7 linked regions of the Xenopus tropicalis genome follow. The protein of the gene in region 6 purifies or fractionates together with the protein of the main gene of each other region. This does not show direct contact. Links are inferred from orthologs where the notes say so. Each region holds a gene or a part of one and is shown on either strand. Other genes may lie near its edges.

What was found.
Region 1: the proteins of aurka (region 6) and wdr62 purify together in Homo sapiens (affinity purification with mass spectrometry; 3 studies listed by BioGRID and IntAct, counting the BioPlex papers as one, with this or other methods). This does not show direct contact. The link is inferred for Xenopus tropicalis from reciprocal best matches to the Homo sapiens genes AURKA and WDR62.
Region 2: the proteins of aurka (region 6) and ppp6c purify together in Homo sapiens (affinity purification with mass spectrometry; 4 studies listed by BioGRID and IntAct, with this or other methods). This does not show direct contact. The link is inferred for Xenopus tropicalis from reciprocal best matches to the Homo sapiens genes AURKA and PPP6C.
Region 3: the proteins of aurka (region 6) and dicer1 purify together in Homo sapiens (affinity purification with mass spectrometry; 4 studies listed by BioGRID and IntAct, counting the BioPlex papers as one, with this or other methods). This does not show direct contact. The link is inferred for Xenopus tropicalis from reciprocal best matches to the Homo sapiens genes AURKA and DICER1.
Region 4: the proteins of aurka (region 6) and calcoco1 purify together in Homo sapiens (affinity purification with mass spectrometry; 3 studies listed by BioGRID and IntAct, counting the BioPlex papers as one, with this or other methods). This does not show direct contact. The link is inferred for Xenopus tropicalis from reciprocal best matches to the Homo sapiens genes AURKA and CALCOCO1.
Region 5: the proteins of aurka (region 6) and ppp1cc purify together in Homo sapiens (affinity purification with mass spectrometry; 3 studies listed by BioGRID, with this or other methods). This does not show direct contact. The link is inferred for Xenopus tropicalis from reciprocal best matches to the Homo sapiens genes AURKA and PPP1CC.
Region 7: the proteins of aurka (region 6) and fbxw7 purify together in Homo sapiens (affinity purification with western blotting; 5 studies listed by BioGRID). This does not show direct contact. The link is inferred for Xenopus tropicalis from reciprocal best matches to the Homo sapiens genes AURKA and FBXW7.

What each region holds. Positions count from the first base shown.
Region 1 is NC_030684.2:76,019,692-76,023,270, reverse strand, and holds part of wdr62 (WD repeat-containing protein 62), read right to left. Parts: intron 3,451-3,579; coding exon 3,378-3,450; intron 880-3,377; coding exon 768-879; intron 1-767. UniProt on the Homo sapiens protein: Required for cerebral cortical development. Plays a role in neuronal proliferation and migration.
Region 2 is NC_030684.2:28,173,694-28,177,943, forward strand, and holds the start of ppp6c (serine/threonine-protein phosphatase 6 catalytic subunit), read right to left. Parts: upstream 2,818-4,250; 5' UTR 2,784-2,817; coding exon 2,709-2,783; intron 1-2,708.
Region 3 is NC_030684.2:88,606,353-88,610,621, forward strand, and holds the start of dicer1 (endoribonuclease Dicer), read right to left. Parts: upstream 2,832-4,269; coding exon 2,718-2,831; intron 1,913-2,717; coding exon 1,750-1,912; intron 687-1,749; coding exon 556-686; intron 1-555. UniProt on the Homo sapiens protein: Double-stranded RNA (dsRNA) endoribonuclease playing a central role in short dsRNA-mediated post-transcriptional gene silencing.
Region 4 is NC_030678.2:146,549,909-146,553,487, reverse strand, and holds part of calcoco1 (calcium-binding and coiled-coil domain-containing protein 1), read right to left. Parts: intron 2,950-3,579; coding exon 2,824-2,949; intron 2,196-2,823; coding exon 2,100-2,195; intron 1,557-2,099; coding exon 1,451-1,556; intron 885-1,450; coding exon 670-884; intron 1-669. UniProt on the Homo sapiens protein: Functions as a coactivator for aryl hydrocarbon and nuclear receptors (NR). Recruited to promoters through its contact with the N-terminal basic helix-loop-helix-Per-Arnt-Sim (PAS) domain of transcription factors or coactivators, such as NCOA2.
Region 5 is NC_030677.2:162,953,110-162,957,361, forward strand, and holds the start of ppp1cc (serine/threonine-protein phosphatase PP1-gamma catalytic subunit), read right to left. Parts: upstream 2,824-4,252; 5' UTR 2,646-2,823; coding exon 2,591-2,645; intron 1-2,590. UniProt on the Homo sapiens protein: Protein phosphatase that associates with over 200 regulatory proteins to form highly specific holoenzymes which dephosphorylate hundreds of biological targets.
Region 6 is NC_030686.2:6,087,836-6,092,156, forward strand, and holds the start of aurka (aurora kinase A), read left to right. Parts: upstream 1-1,454; 5' UTR 1,455-1,509; intron 1,510-3,129; 5' UTR 3,130-3,138; coding exon 3,139-3,180; intron 3,181-3,615; coding exon 3,616-3,913; intron 3,914-4,321. UniProt on the Homo sapiens protein: Mitotic serine/threonine kinase that contributes to the regulation of cell cycle progression.
Region 7 is NC_030677.2:55,438,872-55,443,165, forward strand, and holds the start of fbxw7 (F-box/WD repeat-containing protein 7), read left to right. Parts: upstream 1-1,477; 5' UTR 1,478-1,606; intron 1,607-4,294. UniProt on the Homo sapiens protein: Substrate recognition component of a SCF (SKP1-CUL1-F-box protein) E3 ubiquitin-protein ligase complex which mediates the ubiquitination and subsequent proteasomal degradation of target proteins.

The sequences.
Region 1 (3,579 bases), on a different chromosome or scaffold from region 6:
CCAAGACACAATGTGCTTAAAAAAATGACACGTTATTGTAAAATGTTAAGGTGGAACTGTGAAAGAAAATCATAAAAGAAAATATAACTCTAAGCAACTTTTATAATATGTATTCATTCAAAATGGTATGTGTTAATGCATATATTCCTGCATCCTTGCCTATGACTTCTGTATTGCTGCATGCCAGCTAATTAAAAGAAACAGATTTTTTTTTTTTTTATAGATAGGCCCAGAGAACAGAAAGATCAGGACTGCATTTACAAATAGCTTTAAAACCACTATGAATAGTTGCAGTTTTATATTGCTAATTATAGAAAACCATAGGTGGGAGATCCACTATTTGCCATTAGACTTAGACCACAGGGCCCCAGTTTAGTCCACTGCTCCCTCCCTAACCAAATTACATGGATTCATAAAACAAAATTTCCCTGTCCCTCCAGTTGCAGAACTGCATAACTGGGTTGGTGGCTGCAATGTTTGCCCATGTAGCTCCACAGTTGCAATATTTGAGAAGAAGCGTGTACCCTGAATGCTAGGACCAGATCAGAGTCTTAAACAGGATGTGCATGGCCAAACAGATTGGTCACCAACCCAGCTGCACTGCATTATCCATTAAATACATGTACTGTAAAAACATTCAGGATTTGGATATGGACCTCAGTGTTAACATAGCTAATGTGTTATTTTTTACTTTTGCACTATTTCTTTTTCTTTCTTGTTAGCACAAGGAAATGTATAAATAGAAATGCAATGTAAGTACTACTAACCTGAATGGCCATATACCTCTGCTATACATTCTCCAGATAGCAAATCAAAGAAGGATATGTTCTTACTGGAGCAACTAGTTGTAAAAAATGTTCCAGAGGGATCAATTTGCACCTAATATAATGAAAGGATTAAAATGGATCCATTAGAACTTATTCTCAGCTTATTTCCTTGGTCCAATTATAAAACATGCCAATGGCAAGCACATATTTTTAATTACTTAAGACATCCCACATTTTACTATTTCCCCTCGCTTTTTAGCAACATTGCGGCAAACATGGTATAAAATGAAGATTCCTGACCTAATGAGAATATAAATAAGTCGAAAAAGAGAAAAGAGTAAATTTAACCCCTCTGGATTTCCCATCAATCCCAAGTAATTAAATTATAAAAGCATTACAAAGTACTGTTACCCAACTACTAATAAAGTGACACGTGCCTCAATTGCAAAAGGTACAGATTAATGATTAATCAATCACAATATAATATAAAACAATTTATTGACTACCAAAAAGTGCTCATGCCAATTAAAATTGAAGTTTATTAACTTGATTCATTGATAAAGAGTGCCAGTGCTCTAATTAAAATGAAAAATTACCCACATAAATCAATATATAAAATTATTAATGATTAATCAATAACAATATAATCTATAGCAACTGATTAACTACCATAAAGTGATCATGCCACTTGAAGTTGAAGGAGTTAATTAACTTAATCCACTGTTGAAAAGTGCCAATGCTCCAATTAAAATGAGAATTAATTGCCACAAAAATAAATTGGACCTGTATTTCATCCGGATAAAAGTTAGGAAATAGGAAATTTCTAGAAGGTAGAGGTGTCCCCAAAACTACTCTCTCTTTGGAATTGCTATAGAATACATGGGACAAGAAGGAGAAGGCAGGATGCCAGAGACTGTGGTCTCATGTATTCCCTTCCCTACTTCAATAGAGAGAACTATCTTGCCTGAAAAACCACAAATCCAGGTCCCCTTGGATTAAGAAAAGGAGAATGAGAACTGAAGCACATGCATATCACTGAAAATTTCCCAGCAACCCCCTGAAATTATACTGTACTGGTTTGTATTAAAAGGTAGGGATTACTCAATTACAGAAATTCACTATAAAATCAAAGATTCCCACCAATGTGCGTTTTGCATAAAGCTTTCTCAAGGCAAGGTTATAAATAGATATACAGGTATGGGATCCCTTATCGGCAAAACTGATATCCAGAAAGCTCCGAATTACCGAAAGCCCGTCTCCCATTTTAATCAAATAATTCAGATTTTTTAAATTGATTTCCTTTTTCTCTGTAATAATAAAACAGTACTTTGTATTTCATCCCAACTAAGATATAATTAATCCTTACTGGATGCAGAATTATCCTATTAGTTTTAATTAATGTTTTATTGATTTCTTAGTAGACTTACGGTATAAAGATCCAAATTATGGAAAGACCCCTTATCGGGAATACCCTTGGTCCTGAGCATTCTAGATAACAGGTCCTTTACCTGTACAGGTATGGGATCCGTTATCCGGAAACCAGTTATCCTGAAAGCTCCAAATTATGGAATCAAATACGTCAGATTTTTAAAATTGGTTTCCTTTTTCTCTATTATAATAAAACCGTACTTTGTACTGCCCCAAACTAATATATATTTAACCCTTACTAAAAACAAATTGGTAACCACTGTAGTGCTCATTTTATAACTCATGGGAGAAACTACTGCAAAAGAGGGCAAATGATTTTCAAGCAATAACACTTTCATGTCCTGTCATCTCCTGTTACAGGAAAAGTATAACAAAATTACGTGATAAGGTTAGATCAAGATTTCTTTTGTGGTCAGTTTTTTGTTTTGATGAAATAATTGTGAGTTTGCCTTTGTGGCCATTTTTTATTATACAGTCAAAACCTTTGTGCCAAAAAAGTATATTGGTAGGTAGGTTTGCCTCTTGGCTGGTATTTTACCAGCCTGGCTAGTTAAACCGTGTTTGATGCCCATGTTATTAATAGGGAAGATGTAAAAATATAGGAAGGTCTGTATTTTTATTCCAAAAAAGTTGTCAACCCTGATGGTAGTTAAGCGTGAACTATTGTTTTCAGCATCGCTTGCAAATGTTATATTTTCAATATTGGAAATTCAAAGCATAGGCAAAGCTCAGTTTTCCCTGGTGAAGTAGGTCATATTACTGCCTGAATTCAATGCAGAAACATCGATGGCATCAAACAGGCTAATGGGGTCAGTGATACCCAGCGTGTCTTCATCTTAAGAGTGTCAAGGATGTGGCCATTTTGAAGGTAAATATACATCCATGACTTATATCATAAAGTTGCAAAGACATTAGAAGGCATATATTAAAAAGGCATTTTTACTCTAAAGGAGGGAACTTATGATTCTATGTTTGGCTATTTAACACAGTTACCTACAGAATCCTGCTCGATCTATTGTATTGATACTCTACTAAAATGCTTATTTACAGTTCTAAATCCATGATCACTTTCAAAGGATCTTTTGCATTTACATTTGCATAAATGTAAAATGCCCCATGTATGTAAACATATGGCATATTTAGAGTTATTCCATTTTTGAAGGTACATTGAAGGTACATTACCTTTAGTAATGCCCCTCCATTTGGAGAGCTTTTAAGAATCTTCTCTTGTTTACCACTTGAAATACTGTACAATCTATGAAACAAAATCATTATTTAAGGTTGGGTCACAGCGGGATACATTTAAGAGCTTCTAATTCCCATGAAACTCCAATAATGTAAAAAAAAAAGCATGTTCATACATTTTAAAATCTGCAAGAAATAT
Region 2 (4,250 bases), on a different chromosome or scaffold from region 6:
GACACTAGTTTACTGTACACAGAGCTTCAAGCTGGCAGTCCACATGGGGCTACCAAGCAGCCAATCCCAGCGCTTACTTAGTTAGACCCATTAACTTTTTTCATACTTATGTGGCTCCACCAACACTTTTTAGATTTGAGTGTGGCTTACCAGTAAAAAAAAGTTTGGAGAGGAAAGGTGGTTTTTATTCTAGCCAAGAATACACTGCCCTTGGGGCAGCTGTTTTCAAACTCACTTTGTATAAGATTCCAATATGGTGGAGATATAGTAAAACTCTGCTGTACCAACCACAGTGTCACACCAAATATTTTCCTAGTTAACATTAAAAATAGGCTTCCAGTATCTAGAGATGCAAATAAGGCATTCTGCCCAATTCTAACCACGTGTCTCTCAAGCTTCCTTGAAGTCACCGTGAAACTGGCAGGACAATGTGTTATTAGATCAAAACCTTGCACGATCACCTGATTCTGGGCAGTCCGGCAACAAATTTAGTCATAGGTGATAATGATTGATAAGTCTTGAGCTAATGGCAGTGGCAGACGGGGAGATTAGTCACAGGTAACTAATCTCCCCGCAATGCCATCCCACCGAGCGCGAACTCTGTGGTGATTTATGGTTCTGCAACACTGGGGATTAGTTGGAGGATGGCTGCACAGTGACCACTGAGTGATTTTTAACATTTAAATAGAATTGTTTAGAATTTGTTTACCATAGCGCGGATATATTTCGACACAAAGTCTTGAGCTAATGGCAGTGGCAGACGGGGAGATTAGTCACAGGTAACTAATCTCCCCGCAATGCCATCCCACCGGCAAGAATGTAAATTGCCAGGATGGCATACACATCACTACAATTTCCCGACGTTGCCTGAAGTTTCCTCTCAAGGCAATATTGGGAAATTGTAGAGACCTCTATACCATCCCACCGGCAATTTACATTCTTGCCGGTGGGATGGCATTGCCTTAAGAAACTTCAGGTGACTTCGGTAAATCATAGCGACGCGTATGCCATCCCACTGGCGATTTACATTCTTCCATTCCAGTGGGATGGCACTGCAGGGAGATTAGTCGCCTGCGGTAATGAAGATTTGTCGTGGGGCAATTAATCTCTCTATCAGCCACTACCCTAAGGGCCGTGACACACAGGAAGATTAGTCGTGCCGCGACAAATCTCCGCTGTTGCAGGCGACTAATCTCCCCGCAATGCCATCCCACCACCTAGAATTTTAATCGCCAGTGGGATGGCATACATGGCGCCGTGGTTTGCCAGTCACCGAAGTTTCCTCTCAAGGCAACTTCGGCAAATCTCGGTGCCAAATCTACTTCTCCAGAGTGGTAAACACTGCTACAATCTTTTAAATCTAAAACAGAGACCTTTAACTGGGGCTCATTAAAATCCCCAGTCACACGAGACTCCAGTTGAACATAAAAAAAAACAAAACATAATAGTGGCCTACAGATCTCGCTCTAAAAAGTTGCATTAATAACCACAGTTACAAAAAAAATATCCATATAAAATACTAAGGACGACAATTTCTAAGTTCAGTTACAGAAGGTACCATTCTAAAGAGGAGGGTGACAGCGGTAGTCCATTAAATCCACCAATGGACATATGTCCTAGAGCTGGGCGGTATGACCAAAAATTTATATCACGGTATTTTTCAAAATTATATCGGTGTCACGGTATTTGACGGTATTTTTTTCCCCCCATGCATGATTAGGTGTTAACCCCATTTCCTAATAAATTAGAGAATAATTACTGCAGTATTGAAAATCAGGCAAGTGAAGGATCGGCTTTAAATACCCCCCATGCATGCGCAGGACCGGCGCCGTCAGCGCATCATGGACGTGCACGCTTTGACATGTACGTGCACGCTTTGACATGTACGTGCGCTTTGACATGTACGTGCGCTTTGACATGTACGTGCGCTTTGACATGTACGTGCGCTTTGACATGTACGTGCGCTTTGACATGTACGTGCGCTTTGACATGTACGTGCGCACCTGGACACGCGTGCGCAACGTCCCACGGACAACAGGACACGCGCGCACGCAAGGAGTACCCTGACACCCCGGTATTGCGGTATCTGAAAAATATAGTTTAAAAAAAAAAAAAAAAAACAACGGTATTCGGTATTAAACGGTATATCGCCCAGCCCTAATATGTCCTACTGAAACTGACTACCCTCACGTGTATTGTGTTTGAATCTTTCTACACAGAGTTTGACTATGTAGCTATAATCCTTAGGCGAACGTACACTGGCACACAAGTGTTAAAAAGGCAGTTTTCACATAAAAAAAGTAAAACAATAGATCTATTCATTAAAACATTCAATAGTTTTACAGTTATTTGTCTGCAGTGCCTGCCTGGTCGAATTTCTGACTCTTGAAAGAGTGTAGAAGTCAGTAGTCCTGCAGGAAAACTAACTTCTGCTACAGTCGTAAAAAAAAAAAAAAAAAATCATAAGCGCAGAAACGGGAGGGTTTGTATTAAAATAACATTGACAAGTAAGCTTACTGAGAAGAAATACATATCATGCATACACACTATGCAAAAACTGTTATTGGGGAGATCTCCATTAAGCAAACGCTGAAGCAATCACCAGAAGGCAAAAAGACTGTATCATGGACGTCCCGTCTCTGCAAGGCTGTAATCAGATATCACTAATACGAAAACCATTCATAGGTCTTGGCGGAGCCGCAACTCACCTTCAGGTCATTTTCAGGAAGATATTTGCATTGCCGGGCAATCTCCACATACTTATCCAGGTCCAGCGGCGCCATTTTGAGCAGCAAAGTATCTACTTGGGCGGGAGGCACCGGGCAAAATGTCACTTCCGGTTCGGTAGCTCACTTCCTGGTTACGTTCTTCCTGGTCGATCAGGCAGCATAAACGTTCTCTTTCAATTAACTTTATTTAGACGTGTCTCGTTAGGGCCATTACTGACGTTTCAAGGGCCTCAAACGGCACCAAAGAGAGATCTGTAAGACAAAACCAGCTAAAAATCTACTCAGGAGAAGTTTTTAGGCTTACGCCTTGAAAGATTTTTTTTATTAGAAAATACTTATTAGCACGTCTTGTTTTCTATTTGTTTTTCTTAAACAAACATTAAACATTAAAATGAACAAAGCATCGCCTGAAAAATTTGCCTTATGTAGTTATATTATATTTTGTTTATAGATATTGAGCTGCTATAGAACACGTTTGCCAAGACAATGCTCAGTATCCATAGACACATTCTATAGATTCCATATGGGCTGGATTGGAAAATTGGCAATTTTTTGACCACGCCCACTTTGTGACCACGCCCCCAATTACCACACCCCATTTTTAAAATAGTTAAAATAGTGCCCACAATGGCCCAATAGACAGCACCCCCATACACAGTGCACCCCATACACAGTGCCCCCCCATACTCAGTGCCCCCCCATACTCAGAGCCCCCCATACACAGAGCCCCCCCATACACAGTAGCCCTCCTTACACAGAGCCCCCCATACACAGAGCCCCCCCATACACAGTAGCCCTGCTTACACAGAGCCCCCCCCATACACAGAGCCCCCCCATACACAGTGCCCCCCATACACAGTGCCCCCCATACACAGTAGCCCTCCTTACACAGTGTCCCCCCATACAATGCCCCCCATACACAGTACCCCCCATACACAGAGCCCCCCAATTGCCCCCATAGTGAGTACCTCCAATAGAAAATGCCCCCATACATAGCGGCCCCCATAGACTTCTTGCGGCTCCTGCTCCTTATTCGGCTCTTCGTACGGCGGTGACAGGACCTTTTATAAGGTTGTGCCCGTGCGTACGTGTGACATCACACGTACGCACGGGCGCAACCTTATAAAAGGATCTGTCGCCGCCGTACGAAGAGCCGAATAAGGAGCAGGAGCCCAAGAAGAGACGGAGCCGGAGCGCTCCGCTGCAGCCAGCGCGTCCCGCTGACCTGGATAGTTTAATGAATGTTCTGCATTTCTGTAATGCGGGACATTGATTGAACAATCCGGGACAGCGGGACGCGCTGTAAAAACCGGGACTGTCCCGCGAAAAGCGGGACAGTTGGGGGGTATGCTTAAACGTATTTGCTTCCAATTTAGGAGTTAAACGTATATTTTTGTTGTGATTACAATGCCAACTAGTTATGCCACTGATGCGCCTCACCATTTCGGAATTAGGGTGCAGTTTACCCTAGCAACTAGGGATGTAGCGAACCTCAAAAAAAAAGTTTGCGAACTTACGCCA
Region 3 (4,269 bases), on a different chromosome or scaffold from region 6:
TGTTACATGTAATATTGGATTTGATAGCCAGGACCTGACCTGGGGCTTTCCCAGATAAAGAATCTTTCCATAACTTGGAGCACCATCAGTGATGAGCACATTTTTTCACTAAGTATGGATTTGCAGTGAAATGACGCATTTCGACATCAGAAAATTTATTTGCAAAACTGCGACAAAAACTGAGAAAAAAAAAAAAGTCTCCAAGAGAAAAGTGGCCAAGACAAAAAAAGTCCCCACAAAAAAAAAAAAAAAAAAAAAAACCCCACCCATTGACTTTAATGCATTTGGAGTAAGAAAAATGGACCAGAAAGCCTCTTAGATAGATTTGAACCCAAAGATCATTTAAATAAGTGAGCATTAAAGGGGCGGCAACTTGCACCCCAGGGTATAGTAAACGACCCCTATAGGCTTTCCTTGTCTTTTAAGAGGAAGTTTTGTTTTAAAATCTCTGTAAATGCACTGATCATTTAACAGTAAATAAACTCTTATACGTTATATCTCTTATACAGACAACAATTGTGCATTCCATTTCCTTAAACAGAACAATAAAATTACCTGATGAGTTTCAAATTCTAGGTACCATCTTTCTTTTGCCCAGCATTGTGTTTTTTCTTGATCTGAATATTCTCCCACCTTGAGGTCTGTATGGGTCCTGACAGCAGACACTTGTTGAGAAACCTGTTTCTCTGAAATTTAAAATATAAAAGTTAAATATTTTATACACATGAAAGACTGATCACCACAATGCGTTATAGCAGACAAATTTTATAGGTAGTACAGGAAAAGCCACGAGACCCAAGACGCCAGATAATATCCATTAATTAACTTTCCTGCAATTTCTCTACTGATTATGATTAGCTTAACTTTGGTATTGCTATTTAAGGTTAAAGCCAAACATGATAGGTTGCCTTATTTTGTCACCACTACTTTACTCAACATAACTTTCAGAGGTCAGTAATTTCCAATACTGTATAATAGGTACAGCTAAACTATGATCTAATGTGATTCCCATTAACTATACTCAGATGCAATCAGTGACAACGCTCCATTGTAACATATTCAAGACAAAATTCAGACAACAGCTTGTCTTAAAGGGGTACCCCCTTAATAACTACTTTTTTTGAATAGAGGTGGAAATTGTACTAACCGTCAAAGTTTTAAAAGATACCTACAAACGTATTTGCTACTGAAAAAAAGATGTGCTTGTTTACATTTTCTGTACAGTGTTGCAAGATGGCTGATACAATGTGATTAAAAGAACTAAAAAAAAAAAAAAAAAAAAAATATACAGTGAATAAAGTACCACCTATTTTAAATTATAAGTAACTGAGAAGTTCCATGAACGCTTAAATGCATGAAGCCGAAGGCCAAGTGATTTTAATCAGGTCATGGCACTCCTAAGGGTGAGGGCAGACAAAGCGTATATCCGTTTCTCTCAGCCCTGCACTTTTCAGCCTAGCTGAGAGAAGTGGATCCACTTCCGTACACAGCTCTGTGAGCGTGCACTAAAACTTATGGCAAGAGCCCAAGTGTGCACACACAGATTGGAGCGGCGGTTGGCCTGAAAACACAAAAGCAAAGTTTTACACAGAGACCGCCGATCCGCTCTGCGTGCAATGGGTTTTAGTGCACGCACACAAAACTTCTGTAATTTCTGCAAAATAACTGAAAAATTACTTTTTAAATAATTTATATATATGTCTACAATTTGTCTTCTTGGTAACCTTGTAATATTTGAAATGTCTTTACCGGAATTGACCAAAAACACAGTCCTCTTAGTATTTTTGCTGAAGTCCCCACGGATCTGGTATGACAGCTCTTTACTGAGTAGTACTGCAATAAATGTCTTCCCTGAGCCAGAATTCAAACATACTATAGTATTATGATCCAATGCTGCTTCGAGTAGTTCCACCTGGAATAGGACAATATGATAAATTAGGTTTTTTTTACTGTAAGTTCTCTGTAAAAACATGAGGTGGTACAAACATTATCTAGCAGTACCCTGTAATAATAAGATGCAAGTAGTTCAATAACAGCTTTGTTGTAAAGCTAGTCATATACAAATGAACCTGCAGACAAAAAAATGCACATATCTGATTATCCAGTATGAGGAACAACAGATTGTAAGAGACCACACTGAACATGTAGATACAACCATTATTCTGGATCACCTTTGCTTACTTTTCACTCAACTGACTAAAATTTTCAGATCTACCATGAACCAATCTGTCATACATGCTCAGAGGTTAGTCAAAATCTTAGCATGCACAGTCAACTTTGTTTTGGAATCTTGGTGAAGTTGGTCATATACAGCAAGATTGTAAATACAGCAAAATATACAACAAGATTTGCAGAGATTTTTCAGGGATTGACAAAGGAATGGCTCTATTGAATGCCAACTTTCTCTAACCATGCCATGAGCCAAAGCAAACCGATTTAATATGTTCCTTGACCCTAGGCAATGTACAGATTACAAGATGGCCTATTGTGGATTGTCAGTACAGGCCAATCAATTTTTTTTTTTATTGCTCACAGAGAACAAAAACTATACACACACAAATGTAAATATGTGGAAATGTATCCTTTCACTAACTATAGAAGATCAAATAAAACAAGACTAAATAAAACCACTGCAATGATTCTGTTCTTTACAGAATAAAGGTTTTTCTGACAAACAGTAACCATCACCACCTGGGGGGGATGTCCAGTAATCATACCTGATATTTCCGTGGGGTATAAATGTTGTCATGAATAGCCTCCTGTTGCCAGGGTAGCCCAAAGAAGGGACCCATTGGAGAGGAGGCCGGAGTCATGAGCTGAAGGCCTGCCATGCTGAGGGTCTGCAAAATGCAGGGCTCTCATAAATCCAGTGACTTAAATCATTGTAATTTGCCTACTTGTTGTTTTCTGTAAGAGAAACAAAAGAACAAACATTAACTAAAAAAAACCATACTGCTGATTTGGATGGACAAATGATCTACACAAATGACATTTCATGGTGAGCAAGACACTTAACTCACAGTAAAGGCTATTTGATTTACCATAAACCTTTACCTGTGATAGATCAAAAACATCATCATATTCAATTTGGAACAAGGGGGATAAATTATGTAATACTAATTGATGTCCAGAGTATTGGATAATCTATATATTGTTAAAGGCGTTTTCACCATTAGATTACCGTAACTTTTAGTATGATATGTAGAGACTGCTATTCTGAGACAGTTTACAATTGGTCTTTATAATTTGTGGTTTTCAAATTATTTATAGCTTTGTTTTTAACAGTTCTCCAGTTTTGGAGAATTTGGAATTTCGGAAGCTATCTAGTTGCTAGGGTCTAATTTAAGCTAGCAACCAGGCCGTGGTTTAAGAGACAGAAATATGAATACAGGAGGGTCTAAATAGAAAGATTAGTAATAAAAAATAACAATTACAATAAACTGCAGCCTTACAGAGCTGGAAAGAGTCAGGATGGCAAATAATAAAAAAAAAACAAAAAACTATGAATAAAAAATGAAGACCAATTGAAAGGCCTTTCTATTACATACTAAAAGGTAACCTGAAGGTAAACCCCCCTTTTAACTATCACTTAGAATTTGCATATCTATCATTTAGCTACTTTGTCAAAAGCTACTTTGCTATTTTTCACTATGTTTAATTATTGTATTGACTTGAGAGATATAAAAAAAAAAATATATATAAGATATATTTTATCTATTTATCTATTATTATCTTATTAACACCCTGTTTGTATTAATGTATTCTACTGTACAGTGCTGCGTACATAAGTAGCGCTTTATAAATAAAGATATACATACATACATACATATATTATACTAGGAATTTTTTTTAGTTGTGACTAGGCAGATACTGAGAGAAGAACTTCATGCAGGAAATACACATTAAACCGCTATAAGGTTTAATACCCTTGAGCATCTTGCACATAACTGCAGTGTGTTGTTAATCTTACTGGAAGAAATCATATGAAAACAAAAATGTCAGTTACCGTCTCAGTGTGAAGATTCTCCAATAACACATGAAATGCATTCTGACACCATGATATTTGTTTGCAACTAATGGGCAAGCATCAGTCTGAAAAGTAACAGAAAATAGTGCCATGATAAAAGGCAAATGTTCTTTCCCCACTAGTAGTGTTTGTTTCTTAGAGAAACCAAAATTTGTTTCAGAATCATTTCTATGACCACTAATTCCCCATGTTTTAATCACTATGCGCATTTATAAATTATAGAGGCCCAGTCTAAACAGTAT
Region 4 (3,579 bases), on a different chromosome or scaffold from region 6:
ATACTGACTGTTATTTGATAGGTTTGGAGCTACTTCTCTCTAAGCTTGAAACTTAACCATTAACTGTCTTAGGCCACTGATGTTTATTCTCTCATCCTTCAGAAACTGTTCCTGGTTTCTAGAAGATCTATTCTTCTCTATAAGACTTATATATATAGTACTGAAAGGAACACTCAAATGTAATAAAACAGCTGCCTGGGTGCAAATGAAGATAGTAATAAAGATAGAAAGCACTGCACTCAGGACAGGGAATCACTTAATTGTTTGTTTCCCTTGAGAAAGGTCACTAAGTGTGACCAAAATGTTGGGATTTAAATAAAGCCTTTTTGAGTGCTGTTGAGTGCAATGCTTTCTATTTGTCTTTTTTCTATACCCTAATATGTTTTCTAGTATCTCACCCCTATATCTGCTTATGGAAATTATAATGGAAAGCACTGTATGAATATTTGGTAGATTTTTACCTTAATCCACACAAGTGCAGTTGCTCTAATGGTGTTCACTGAAGGTACTTCATTTGTTATAGGCCCACCTTATCTCCTGTTAGTATTTGTGTACAGAGGTAAGAGCATATATCTTTGTTACCAATTGTTGTGTTTGCAAGTTATAGTCATTGTAGAGTCATGCAAGTTCATTTTGCTGAATGAACACAGTCAAACAAGTATTACTCACTGAATCAACATTGTCCTCAGGGAGAGGCTGCAGTTGACAAGCAATCGGTGCAGGTTGGTTTATCACCACCTTCTGAGGCTCACATGGAAACAACGGTATGTCCAAGGAGATGTCCTCTTTATCAAAGGAACATGCTCCAAGCTTCTGAGATTCTCTCTCATCCCCTGAAGATTCATCATCTGAATCAGAAAGATCCACTGGTGAAGTAGGAGGACCTGTACAGAAGGTACACAAAACATCAGACAGTTCTAAACAGCCTCTACTTTTAAACCATTCTCTGTAAATACTCACATTCAAGGCGATCAACAAAAATAATAATCTGAACTATAATCCCTCTGCAGCTTCACTTGCCAAACTAACATTACTTTCCAAGTGGCATAAACATTTTCTCTCCGTCCCTACTATCCCTTCCTATTATCAGATGGTAGATAGCATGACTAATAACCTGTTTTTATTTACACAAAAAAGCAATTAGTTACAGGAACACCTACAAATGTAAATAGTAACTTATCACGTATAATACATGAACAAGTAGCAGTTTTTAACCTACAGCTTCAACCTGCTGCTGATCTAGAAACTTCTAGAACACCATAACAGCCACTGTACAAACACTGCAGCTGCCAAGGTTGCATGTCACCAGTACATAAGATAAGCAACCGCATCTTCTCTAAGGCATCATGCACAGAACAATAATAGACATATTTAAAAACTAGCCAATAAATGAAATCTAGGACAACAAGGGGTAAATGTTAAATCATACAGAGGGCACTTAAGTGCATACTTAGGTCTGCTGTTGTTTCTTCCATAAGTATCTCTTCTTCTTTCCATTTCTCATCAGCCAGCTTGTCTAGCCGTTCTTCCAGCCTATGAACATACTGGAGCATTTCCTAAAACAAAAAAAGAACAAAGAAGGTAAACCATGAGACATGTCATTAATAAGATCAAATAAAGGTATGAGATTCCTTATCTGGAAAACCATTATGCAGAAAGCTCAGAAACTTTAGATATTATTTCAATTTTCTCTGTAATAATAAAACAGTACTTTGTGTTATATATATATATATATATATACACACAATATATATATATATATATATACACACAATATATATATATATATATATATACACACAATATATATATATATATATATATATAAATATAGATGTATATTTCTATTGTTCTGTATAGTTGTTAGTGGTTAAGTAAGCATAAAAATGAAATGTTTTAGACAAGTGTTTAATTAGATGAATGTATATTAAATCAGAAGTAATGTAACTAAAAACCACCATCCCATAGGTTGCTATACAAAAGGTATCAGCATTTCTGCTTGTGCTGCCTTGCTCCATTACCCACATGTGGCACTTACTTCTGCAGAGCAGATGCTTGATGACAGGCAAGTAATGGAGATATGGCGGTAAATGTCTCACCTGCCTTTCCTCTCTCAGTTGCTCCTTCTCCATCTGTGCAACTTTTAGGGCAGATTTCAATTCACTCAGCTCTCGTCTGTTCTCGGATAACTGTACCTGTACCGTGGTAGACAGATAAGGAACTGCAGTAGATTCATTGCTGGAAATAACTTTTCCCAGATTTATAAATTATTAACATTATTATTATTAACATTTATTTATAAAGCGCCAACATATTCCGCAGCACTGTATAAATGCTGTTATTTTATCACACCTTTCTGGTTCAGAGAAGCTCTAATTGAGCAAGATTCTTATGGCAAAAGTTTAGATGCAGAGGACAAAAAGACAACTTTATTATGTGAAAATACACAACGCTGTATTTTCAAAATGCCTGATGCATTTAGGGAAAAGAGGAAAATCATGGTATAATGATGTACATTGAAGAAGGCAGTCTGTGTTGGGCATCTATTGAGCTCCTTATAAAACATATATGCAAAACACAAGCATTGTCATGCTTTGTCTTGGTCCAACTGACCACTGCATTCAAAGAATGTATGGCTACATTTAATAACTACTTTATCCAAGGTCACACGATGCCAACACTAGAATCAGACTCAGGCTTGTCGATATAGTTTACCTCCATCTTTCTACAGTGTCCATTACTAACTAAACATTGTTCTAGTTCAAATAATAAGCTTCCAGTAAAGTATGGCCTCCCAGAGTATGGGGGTTCTGGGGGTAGTACCTGTCTGGCATCTGATTCCTGGTTAAGTTTGCACTGCAATGTTTGCCTCTGACTTTTCTCCTCCTGCAGACTGCTTTCCAGGCTTAGTTTTTCTGCTTTCAGATTCACAATCTGATCCCTCTTGGCCTGCAATATAGAAGACAGTTTCTCTGGCTTAGCTTACAGAATAAGGAACCTTAATTCTAACTGGTTGGTGTTACACATGCACTTTACTTCTGCACTTGTTTTCCAAGAGCCATTACATACAGTATATACCTTCTGTATTGCAACATACCGCACAGCAAGAGATTTTTTTTTTTTTTTTTTACAGAAAAATAAATTACTTACAGGAATGAAAGTACCCAAGCTTGTAGTTCTTTGTATAGTTTTGACAACTGATTTATTTTAAATGGAACGCAGAATAAGTTAAAAACAGAAGTTTAAACATTAGGCTGGCTAATAATAAAATAACTTCAGCTACAAAATGCTACAATGATACCATTTATACCTTTAGCTGCTACATTTTATGTCATTATGTACATTCTTCTTGAGCAAATTGCCCAGGTTTGTTAGTATAGCAAAAAAGGGAAAGTTGTGCTCACCACTATATTTAAAACCATTAGGTGGGGGTGCAATGAGGCTGTGACCACAAATTAAATTAAAACTAAATTAAAAACAACAAGAGATGCTCTGCACTCACCAAACAATGCCCACCCCTTTAAGCAAAACAGGGATTGTTTGTCCATATATTGCAATATACTTCAAGCTGCGTCAAAG
Region 5 (4,252 bases), on a different chromosome or scaffold from region 6:
AAGTCACGATACCAAAGCTTGAATGTATCCAAAACGTTCTTACTCAGCGCGACAATACGATTTTGTCGCACAAATTTTGTCGCAAAGTACGAAAAAGTCACCAAAAATACGCTCGGAGCGTTCGTGAATTAGTAAATGTAAACATGTTTTATGTTTGTAGCAAACGTTGATCAGTCCTGCACATCGAATTTTAGCCCATTCCTCTATACAGAACAGCTTCAGCTTTTGGATGTTTGTGGGTTTCCTCACATGAACAGTTTAAGTTAGGTCGTTCCACAATATTTAAATTGGAGAAGTCAGGACAAGCCCACATCTCATTTGTAATAGACAAGAGGATCTATGGGTAGCTTCTCTAAATGTGACATTTTCAGAGTAAACACTTAAGGGCACTGAATCAGGCACCATATATTATTCATTGTTACCAACACGAGAGTGACTTTCAAAAATCCAATATGTCTCCATTAAAAGGTGCAGTATCCCCCCTTGTTTAACAATAGATCAATAAATAGGTCTTCTACGGAACACTTTTTGCCCATTTCAATTTTTAAAAATCTACCTCGCAAGGACCAAACATGGAATAGCTTCAGTTTTCCTGTTTAGCTCACAAAATAAAAATGAGATTTTTCACAATTAAAACAAAAGACATAAGTATATTCAGCCCCTATTTATTAAACAAATGTTGAGAAAGGAGGTATTATTGTTCCCCATGTGTTTTTTGCTGGGTGGAATCCAGCCTTGCTCGGCCTGCGCCTAAATATTAGACTAATAGTTACAGAAGGTGGTACGACAGTTGTTTGAAGAATCTGATCGCCTACAGCAAGAGAACTTCGGTTTCAGCTGGAGTGTTGGGGCAAGCAAATATTTTTGCTGACCCCCTTTTTCTTTTCCAGCTCAGCCAATGTTTTTTTTACTGGTGAAAACTGGGTATAATGCCCCTTTAATATATGTAAAATATAGGAGCAACAAGGTTTCATTGTCTTGTCTGGACACAACCACTTATATTTTGCCCTTACAAATACATTAGCATATCAGCCTACAGAATTTTAGTCATTAACATTTAGTATGCTGCAGATTTATACAATTAAAATCTTGACTTTTATTTACTTTATATTCACAGTTGAAGGTCTAAAATGCCATGTGAATGCAAGTCAGTGAACTAGGAATTCAGAATCATTGCAAGGCTTTTATTATGTCCTTTTTTACTCACTATTTGTACTTCAATTTGAAGTAGAAAGAAAACAAGAAAATTGCATTCACCGCAGAAAATATGGGCTAATTAAGCCTGCATTCTGGTTGGGGCAAACTATACATTTTGCCCCAAAAAACACTTTGGCTTTGTATGTAATAGGGCTATGCTGTCCACACCAGGAGGTAGTGTAAAGTGGGCAGCCATATTTGGAGCCTAAACATAAGCTGGCACATTCATGCGAATGCGTGCATCACAACAGGAATGTTCACAATGAGTAAGTCAGTTAACTCATTACATATACATAAATATATGTATATAGACTATATACCATAAATAGATGCCCACTAATAGTATTGCTTTCTTCCACCCGAGTTGCAGGGTCTATTAGCCGTAAACAATTTTCCTATCACAGTTGCCCTTTAAACAAGTAACTGGTTGCAAGGACCTGTAACCCCACAAGGGAATTGCAGCCTAAGTTGCCAAATAGAGAACCGAGGAGCAAAAAGTGTTAGAGAAAAAAAAAAGAAAATGTAATGGCACCTCTACACAGAGCTAGTAGCTTACATTTCCTCATTAAAGTCACACCACATCAGCATTAATTTACTAATGAGAACAACAAATGAAAATAGATCCAGTCATTGCTGCTCACCCATTGCCCATAACTAAAGGCAAACTACACAAAATGACACAATCTATTCTTCCAACTCCCCCATATAGTGCATCAGTAAAGCTGCGAGTGAGAGCAGCACAGCTGTGGCACAGGGTCAGGATAACCCCCACCTATTGGCAATATACACAGTTATGAAGGTCAACTAAGGCAAATGGAAATAATCAGCTAATGCACAACATGCCCCCTATGGAGTGAGCAATAATCATAGTTCAATCTAAAGTCTGAAGCACCTTGGTCCCTATACGGATCGCTGCGATTCCCAGGTGTATGGAGCGCTGCGCAGTGTTAAGGATCGGATATACTGGGTGAATCCGGATTCTGCACATGGAATACACATGCAGCGGCTAGGAGCCAGCGGATCGCCTCTATACAATGTATATTGGGCCAGTCCGGCCAATAACTCGTACAACAGCCTGATTAACTAGATATATACTATGAGCAATCAGAGCGGCACCCTGTATGTACCGGAGTATAGAATAAAGTCCTGTTCCGGTAACGGCTCCGTAACGCAACTGCAGGCTGACAGCCGCTCCAACTGCCATATCAATCTCAGCACAAGGAGCCCAGCCAGGATGCTACAAACCCCGCTGCCCCAATAATAACACCGTGTATACATCATTGCTCACTCACATACATAGCTAATGGCAACCCTTTCAACCCTGCCACCACATGAAAGTAAAGTGACAGAGTGTAAGGAAACCCGGCCAGGCCTTCCCGAGTACCATCCTCACCTTCTAACAGTCGCTGTATGATGCTGTCGATGTTAAGCTTGTCAACATCTGCCATTGCTCCGAAAGTCTAAATGGCGGACCCAGTAAACTGTCGCAATAAAAACAGAAGCCCAAACGTACTGGAAACCGGGCAGGGGGCAGTCTTGGCGCCGCAGCGGCTTTTCAATCCCCCTCGCTCGTCTTCCGCTACAGACTCCCAAGAACCTGACAAAATGGCGCCACCTCCTCCCCTGCCGGCCCGCGCATGAATATCTATGCACGACCTGGTACATTTTAAAGACCCAGGCGATAGCACGTACAGTCAAATCTCAACCCACGCTGTGTTTCATTGCGCCAGCCGTTTCTGAAATTTGGCCGTATTTGCGAGCTAGGACTATTTTTTCTCTAGTGCCAAAAGTTAGTACTGCGTATATAAAAAATGGTAACCGTTATCGGTTTTAGGAATGCATTACACGTGTGAGGGTTGTTTTTGTTTTAAAAAAGATCCAGTGACATTGTCTTTGATCATTCTGTGGGTTTCTAGGTTTTGTAAATGATATTTGAATGAGGTGTAATTTCCAAAACAAAGTGAAATACTTAGTAATTTTGAAAAAACGATACACGTAAAATAAAAATAGATATGGCTACTTCACGTCAGCTAAATTTATTGTTTTCAACTAATACACAGAAATACCTTTTGGTAGCCTCCTAACAGGGTTGCCATCAGTAATTATGGGGCTACTCCTTGACACCTGAGCAGTGGATCCTGCAAAAAAGTACAATGGAGCTCCAAAAAAACCCGAATTCACTCCCATTTTTGCCAAGTTGTCCACAATCAGCCCAGACTTCACCCACTAGCCCAAAAGTCTCAGATCAGCTCTTGTGAGAAGCCCTTGCTATCAGGCCCCTGACCAAATTTCCCTCTGTCCCATCTGATGGCAGTGCTGCTGCCTAAGCTGTCACATTTAATACATTAATTGCTGTTTTTTCTCAGTAGTTGCAGAAGCCTTTGCCCCAAATAATTGTACTCCCTGACTTCATGCTTTCTGGCTTAGTAACGCAAGAAGAAACGTGCAGGTATCAATGCTTCTGTACATTGGCCAGGGCCAGGGCCAGCCAGGAGGTTTGGCAATTTCTTGGCCAGTGGAAACCCAGACACCTGAAGATCAGGAGACCAGTGTCTCAACTAGTCCAGGGTGAATAATTATTACCCTACCAACTTAGTGTTAATTGAAATCTCTACACCAGTATTGAAATAAATATGTTGTAGAAAGTTAGGACTAGGCTGCCAACAGCCTAACACCATTCTAAATGTTTGATCTGGTGCTCCCTGCAAAAAACAGCACAACTTTGGACACAAGTGCTCGGTAGATAAGCCCTTGTGCCCTTTAGTGCTCTTGCATCTGTGCCAAGGGCCTTTCTAACTGACCCCTTTACTTTTTTTTATTTCATAGTATTGTCACAAAAGGGGATTGTTTCTTTAAGATTTTTATTAGAATGAATACAAAGCTCCCAGCAGTTCACCAGTGGTTAATTTCACAGTAGATACCTCAAGGCAAGGTATATATATATTCATTTCAGGCATCATGAGCCAAAGCTCATAATGCTTTTTAAATTCCAACAATATACAAAGTAAATTGAAATGAAACAAATATCACATTACTAAATAAATACAACTGTAAA
Region 6 (4,321 bases):
CAGAACCAGCAGTGCAGGGAAGGGAAAGGGACAGACACAGTGACAGTTACACATAACTATAAACCCAGTGAGAATGAGGGATGAATGGATATTGGGGAGTTGTATCAGGAGTCAGAACCAGCAGTGCAGGGAAGGGAAAGGGACAGGCACAGTGACAGTTACACATAACTATAAACCCAGTGAGAATGAGGAATGAATGGATATTGGGGAGTTGTATCAGGAGTCAGAACCAGCAGTGCAGGGAAGGGAAAGGGACAGACACAGTGACAGTTACACATAACTATAAACCCAGTGAGAATGAGGAATGAATGGATATTGGGGAGTTGTATCAGGAGTCAGAACCAGCAGTGCAGGGAAGGGAAAGGGACAGACACAGTGACAGTTACACATAACTATAAACCCAGTGAGAATGAGGGATGAATGGATATTGGGGAGTTGTATCAGGAGTCAGAACCAGCAGTGCAGGGAAGGGAAAGGGACAGACACAGTGACAGTTACACATAACTATAAACCCAGTGAGAATGAGGAATGAATGGATATTGGGGAGTTGTATCAGGAGTCAGAACCAGCAGTGCAGGGAAGGGAAAGGGACAGACACAGTGACAGTTACACATAACTATAAACCCAGTGAGAATGAGGGATGAATGGGTATTGGGGAGTTGTATCAGGAGTCAGAACCAGCAGTGCAGGGAAGGGAAAGGGACAGACACAGTGACAGTTACACATAACTATAAACCCAGTGAGAATGAGGAATGAATGGGTATTGGGGAGTTGTATCAGGAGTCAGAACCAGCAGTGCAGGGAAGGGAAAGGGACAGACACAGTGACAGTTACACATAACTATAAACCCAGTGAGAATGAGGAATGAATGGGTATTGGGGAGTTGTATCAGGAGTCAGAACCAGCAGTGCAGGGAAGGGACCGATGCACCGGAGCCATTGGGCAGCCATATTGCTGTGTGTATGGGATATAATAGCGGGCAGCACATAGTGACTGGCAGAGAGGGAGCGGGCAGGATACTCACCGAGCAGAAAGGCTTCCGGTTCCTGGGCGGGGCGGGGCTATGCCGGTAAGTGCGCACAGATACTCAGTAAAGGCCCAGATAAAACTCTTTCAAACCAGAAAGCGCTCCCAGACCCGACTATACGTCATACAGGCGCGACAGGCCAGCGTCTAACACGTCACACACCAACGCGCAGGCGCCTTGCGCGTCAAGCTCTTGTCACTCGGATACCTAACGGATCTCCGCTCTCCACCAATCAAAGCGAGGCAGCTGACCGCCTGCAGCCAATCAGCGCTCGGAGCGGGTTAAAGGGATTTAAAAGCGGGCGATTTGAATCGGAGTGGGCTGTGACGGTTGGAGGAAGTGAGGCGAGTGTTCTGCCTGACGGGAAGCGGAGCTGTCGGTTTTGCGTCTGCCGCTAACCAGTGTCTGTCCGTGGCTTCAGCTGCTGCAATCCGGTCTGTGTGAGAGCTGCTAGAGTCCCGGCCCGCACATTCGGCTGCCAGGTGTGTGTGTGTGACTGGGCCAATGGGGAGCTTTGTTTCATATGGTTCGGGAGTGTTGTGTGAACTGAGTTATATATTCTGGGCTGTAACAGCTGCACCCTCTGTGCTTCAGCCATTGGTTATCTTTATGGGCCAATGAAACTGCATCTCCCAGTGGCACTGGCTCATGTGGGGCCCATACAGGCCTTAGTACTGCCCCCCCCCATATGTGTTTGTGTGGGGCCCATACAGGCCTTAGTATTGCCCCCCCCCCCCCCCCCATGTGTTTGTGTGGGGCCCATACAGGCCTTAGTATTTAGTGTTAATCCATGACTGAGTTTTGGGAGTTGGTAATGTGTGGGATTTTGGATTTGGGCTCCCAGTCTGGAGATGATTGCCCCCCCCCCCCCCAGCAGGAAAAAGGGTGATCCTTATCGTTCCAGGGGTACCCAGGGCACAAATAAGCACTCACCCCAAATCCCCCCCTAACTGGCCTTCAGGCTGGGCCCCCTTAGCCCATAACAAGGTTACAGATATATAGAAACATTGGGGTAACAGTCACCCTGCTATAGTTCCAGGGGTACCCAGGGCACAAATAAGCACTCACCCCAAATCCCCCCCCTAACTGGCCTTCAGGCTGGGCCCCCTTAGCCCATAACAAGGTTACAGATATATAGAAACATTGGGGTAACAGTCACCCTGCTATAGTTCCAGGGGTACCCAGGGCACAAATAAGCACTCACCCCAAATCCCCCCCTAACTGGCCTTCAGGCTGGGCCCCCTTAGCCCATAACAAGGTTACAGATATATAGAAACATTGGGGTAACAGTCACCCTGCTATAGTTCCAGGGGTACCCAGGGCACAAATAAGCACTCACCCCAAATCCCCCCCCCTAACTGGCCTTCAGGCTGGGCCCCCTTAGCCCATAACAAGGTTACAGATATATAGAAACATTGGGGTAACAGTCACCCCGCTATAGTTCCAGGGGTACCCAGGGCACAAATAAGCACTCACCCCAAATCCCCCCTAACTGGCCTTCAGGCTGGGCCCCCTTAGCCCATAACAAGGTTACAGATATATAGAAACATTGGGGTAACAGTCACCCCGCTATAGTTCCAGGGTACCCAGGGCACAAATAAGCACTCACCCCAAATCCCCCCTAACTGGCCTTCAGGCTGGGCCCCCTTAGCCCATAACAAGGTTACAGATATATAGAAACATTGGGGTAACAGTCACCCTGCTATAGTTCCAGGGGTACCCAGGGCACAAATAAGCACTCACCCCAAATCCCCCCCCTAACTGGCCTTCAGGCTGGGCCCCCTTAGCCCATAACAAGGTTACAGATATATAGAAACATTGGGGTAACAGTCACCCCGCTATAGTTCCAGGGGTACCCAGGGCACAAATAAGCACTCACCCCAAATCCCCCCCTAACTGGCCTTCAGGCTGGGCCCCCTTAGCCCATAACAAGGTTACAGATATATAGAAACATTGGGGTAACAGTCACCCCGCTATAGTTCCAGGGGTACCATGGGCCTAATAAGATTACTCACTCACCCCAAATCTCTCTAAGCATAAGAACTTGCAATGTTTGCTCGGTTTCTATTGACGGTTTATATAACTGAATATGTTGGTGACAGGCACATATAATGGAACGGGCTGTTAAAGAGAATCTTCCTTCTAATGTCAAGGTAAGTCTTTATCTGCCCAAGTTACTAAGCACTTGGGGAGCCACTATTTCTTTTTGTATTTAAGTTCCCCTGCGCCTCAGTAGGTGATTATCTTTATCGCTGTGAGATGTAAACTGTTGAGATGTGTAGTTCAGTAACTCGATCACACTGGAAGGCAGAAGGAGGGAATACTTGCCCTTGCGCCGGTAACACGACGTTCCTCTGCCTGCGCCACAAAATGCTCAGTTTAATGTCTGTAAAAGTCTTTTGGGTTTCTCTCTTTAATGTTATGCATTCTCCCTGGTAATAAAGAACTGTCAGACTACTGACCATAGTCTGTGCTAAGAAATTCCCAGCATCCTTAGCTGCCCAGGGAAGTTGTTTCCCAGAGATCTTTACATCCATGGTTTGGCATTTGATTATTCTTACTAAGGTTTCTCTTTTTCTTTACTGTAGGTTTTCCACCCCACAATGGAGGGTCCCAAACGTATCCCAGTTACCCAGCCTCCGAGCACCCAGGTTAGACCTCCTGGGACTGCCGTCTCTGCCCAGAGGATATTGGGTCCCTCCAATGTGCCACAGCGAGTCGTGTCTCAGGCTCAGAAACCTGTTATGTCCGCTCAGAAACCTGTTATGTCCACTCAGAAGCCAATGACTCAGGGGCCACTGAGGCCAGTAACTCATGGGCATCAGGCTGGCAAACCACAGGGACCAAATGAGAATCGTACTCCACAGCAGACCAGCCATTCCTCCAGTAAGTGCCCTGGGACTTGAGAGCTTACTGCAATAGCCTCTGGCCGGTGGCTGTGTTCTTCGGGCCGCGTTGCCTCTGGCCGGTGGCTGTGTGCTTCGGGCCGCGTTGCCTCTGGCCGGTGGCTGTGTGCTTTGGGCCGCGTTGCCTCTGGCCGGTGGCTGTGTGCTTTGGGCCGCGTTGCCTCTGGCCGGTGGCTGTGTGCTTTGGGCCGCGTTGCCTCTGGCCGGTGGCTGTGTGCTTTGGGCCGCGTTGCCTCTGGCCGGTGGCTGTGTGCTTTGGGCCGCGTTGCCTCTGGCCGGTGGCTGTGTGCTTTGGGCCGCGTTGCCTCTGGCCGGTGGCTGTGTGCTTTGGGCCGCGTTGCCTCTGGCCGGTGGCTGTGTGCTTTGGGCCGCGTTGCCTCTGGCCGGT
Region 7 (4,294 bases), on a different chromosome or scaffold from region 6:
TGCCTCCCTAAGGCTCATGGTGTAGTGCAACCTTCCCTTACCTTGTTCTATTGTGAACGGATGAATTCTGAGACTTAAAGTCCTCCTTCTTTCGAGAGAATCTCTGCACCATCATCTACCGGGTGTGGGGAACCAATCCCTGCAAGCTCAGACAGATTCTTACTGTTCCCTTTCACTCTGTGGAATCATGTATGTCTGTGTAAAAAATTAAATTATTAATACAAATGAATGAACTCATGTCAAATAGGCGGTATCATTTCCTTTTTAAAAAAAAAAAAAAAAAAAGGCTTTTTAGCATTAGCTCAGGTTTTATCTTCAACTCGGTATTCACCATTAGAGTGCTAAGGACACAGCAGGTAAGCACAAACTGCTAACATTCTATAGACCTGCATGTGCCAATGCAATCTCCAACACCTAAACAATTAAGGGCATTTATTTATAAAGCATCACCATTCTCCATAGCACAGGCTTAAATGTAACAATTTAACAATTTTGTTTAAAAACAAATCTTGAAATAAAGTCCCAAAAGTATAATGAATCCTTAATTCTATCCTACAGACTCTGTCCTGACTCCTTTCTGAATGTAGAAAGTATGTGCTACCCAGTGCTCATTAAAGCCCATGTGCCAAACAGACTATGCAAACTTTGTACTATTTATATTAGCATTCAGTTGCTCCAAACATTTTTTTTATCCATGCATTAGTCTTGGTCCGTGGGAATAAAGGCAATTTTCAACTCTTCTGATGAAATTAATATCATTAAAGTTATTGCTGGAGTATAGCACTAGAATGTACTGGGGACTATGATTTCTATGGCTATGGACAGTAATATATAACTATAGCAATAAGTCAAATCAACTAGACTTTTTTTTTTTTAGAGAACTGAATGAATGAGACCCTTCTCAGACAGACAGTAATATATACTGGTAACTATGACTATAACCTGAAGATACCATCCATCCCTACATCATGGGGAGAGGGCTCATTTTGGAATCTCTCGCCTCAAGGCATTGTTCCCCCAGTAGGCACCTATCCCTGGGTGATTGTGCCCCACACCTGCCTGTCCACGTTCGTGTGCTGTCCGTTCTAATTAAATTCCTGTCTCCCCCCCCCCCCCATTCTGCAGCTCGATCCTCATCGGAAGCGATATGTATAAGGCACCCCGGCTCATTTAGATCACTGTTGCTGAACACTGCAACCACTCAGTGTATGACACAAGAAACTATAATTCGGCAATAGACTGAAAATCAGAGAAACCGCTGGAGCTAATCGTACGGAGTCTCACTGACCTTACTAACGTAGGCGGTACATGCACCTGCGAGCACCAGGCTGAATACACTCCGCCGCTGCTTTCCCCACCATAACATAACTGTAGCGGCTAGTAACAGTAGCCTCCTACTTCCGTCTCCCACGTATGACATCAAGCCGCTGCGACGACTGCTGCCCTGGTTGTTGCTGAGCGACTGACGTCATCCCGGCGCGCCCTCTCTCTCCCTCTCCTCCCGTGCCTGTCTCTCGGCGAGAAGCCTTCCTTCCGTGAGCTGCGTGCCTGCCCGTGTGGGCTCCAGGAAAGGCAGCGAATGCCCCCGACTAGTCATTCCACCCAGGTAACTGGCCGCTGGCCACCGCCGGGACTTGATCGCTTTAAAGAAATAGTGTAGTGTGTGGGGGAATAATTTAAAGTAGTACATTAGTGGATGTAGATTTGTATTTACTTGCCCTGCTACAGGGACACAAAACTACCTTCTCTCTAGCTGTGTTTAACTACAACTCCCAGAATCCGTCCAGGAATTCTGGGAGTTGTAGTTTTACAGTTGACGAGCCGCACTTTGAAGACCACTGCTGTACTCAGTATAGACTTGTAGGCAACTCTTTATTGGGAGATTGTGTAGTGTGCAAGTGTTGTAAGTATTAACTCCCATATGCACAGTATAGCTCTGTGTATATTGTGTATTTATACACACACACAATTATACCTCTGTATCCTGTATATCTGTGCATACTATGAAATCCAAAACATTGCCTCAAGACTCTAGAACTACAGAAGTGGACTTTTTGGAAGTGGAATTTATTTACACCAAACCAGCCTGTAGGGGTACTTGGGCTTCTGCCTGTGACACACATTACTGAACTGCAAGTTGCCTAATTCATCCTTTTCTTGCCCAAAGTAAGTGGGTAGTACTAATGCTTAGGCATGCTGTGCTCACAGTACTAATCTTGGGGCAACACCCTATGCAAACCATTGTAAGAGAAGTCTGATGGTGAGAACATTCCCACTTAGTGCTCAGACTCATGTAAGGGACTTGTCACACTAGAACCCAGCTTTGTGTTGTCTTTAGTCTGTGCTGCTCCATTTAGCTGTTTTCATATGGGGGATTAGAGTGAAACTTTATTTAAAGATAAGGTTACTTATGTGTATAAGCTAGTGATGCACTGAATCCAGGATTTGGTGCAGGATTCTGCCAAGATCTGACCTTTTATATCCATATTTGGCCAAATCCATGCCTCTGGCCAAAACGAATTAGAATCCATCACACGGAAGTTGAAAAATTTTCATGCACGGTTCTCTTCAACCCTTCCTTATTCTAATATGCATATACAAATTAGGATTTGGTTCAGTATTTGGACAAATCTTTCGCAAACAATTCAGGGGTTCAGGCAGATTATAAAATAGTGGATTTGGTGCATCCCTAGTGTAAGCATTTACTGTAATAGGATTGAAAGGCAGAGGATGCCAAATTGCAGTAACATAAAGTATGGGATGCAATAAAACTTGAATTTTGTATAAAAGAATTTGTTATATATATAATTAACTCCAGTCTTTAGTGTGGACAAAATTTTGCCCGTCCTAAAATAAACTTTTCGTGTTGTATTCTTTCTGAATTATTTACCACATTCTTCCAAATTGCAGCTGGAAAAGCTACCTAGTTACAGGGTCACTGACCCGCAATAGAAACATGGACTATTAGACTTTAATTTGAATGTTCCTGTTTTTTGAATTATTGGTCTATGTTTTCAGAGCCTCTTCTGTTCCTAAAACATTCTGAATTCCAAATGTCTACCTGGTTGAAAGGTTAATTGAACCCTAGTTTAAGGTTTATTTAAGTGAAATACCAAAGATTAAATACAACCTGGACCCTTTATAAAGCACTTTTATTCCTGGATTATGTGTATATTAAAAAAAGCTCTTACTAAAGATGTATATACTGTTTTTAGGGCATGAATGTACCTACTAATAGCATAAATTAAGCTCCTGGTGGTCACTTGTGATTGACAGTAGATTGCTGAAATCTGCTTGTCACCCCTAGTTTTGATGATGATAATCAAAGGTGTAGTGGTTCTCTGCTCTGTTACTAGAGTGAAATAAAGTTACACCTGTTGGGGTTATGGCACATGGTGAAGGGACCTGCTTTTTTCATTTCTCTGTTAGAAGTCACTGAGACAAAACACAAAGATTGTCAGTGCTATCATTTATGGCACATGTAATGGAAACTGAGAGACTTTCTCTTTTCTGAGAGCTTTTAATGGAGCTGCTGCTTTCTGACTCTTGAAATTTGGAACTGAGGCAGAAGCAACATGCACTACACACAATTATATTTGTGTAGGCATGCCCATCACAGGGGTATGTATTGTAGGGTAATTATTTTCATTTATATGCCGTGTAATAAGTTTCCCTCTACACATTTAGTGGCAGTGCAGTTAAACACAGCCTTGTTGAACCAAATATGAGAAAAAACCCCACAAATTATTGGCATTAAATAAATGTAGAGCATTAAGATGGCTTTAGGTAATATAGAGCACATGTAGCAAAAAATTGTCTTCTGGACCGGGCCACATGTTCAGTACTCCCTATTATTAGATAACTCTTTACTAATTTATATTACAGTAGGTGGAAAATGCCTGTATTATATTTAGCAATGTAATTTACATTCATGACATGTATAGGGGTGTCTTTTTCATTCTAAGCAGTTGCTCCAGGTTTGTATAAAGTATATAAACTGCCTTCTGTGTTATTAATGCAAAGAGGCCAAGCCTTCAAAAAAGAAAAAAAGTTGTCCAGCACAGCTATAGCTGCAGTACTGCTCCCAGAATGAGAATGCTCTGTGTGGCATTTTTAGGTTTTTAGTTCAACACAAACAGTAGGAGGGCTACAGCATTAACCTTCCTCACCAGTACAACAGGCTGCATGCTGCCGGCGCTGCTACTATGGTTTACCACAAAGTGCTGTTTCAATAGTATGCATCTGTATAGTAGCAAATGATTATCAATAGAAGTGAGTAGAAACTGCAAGTTAA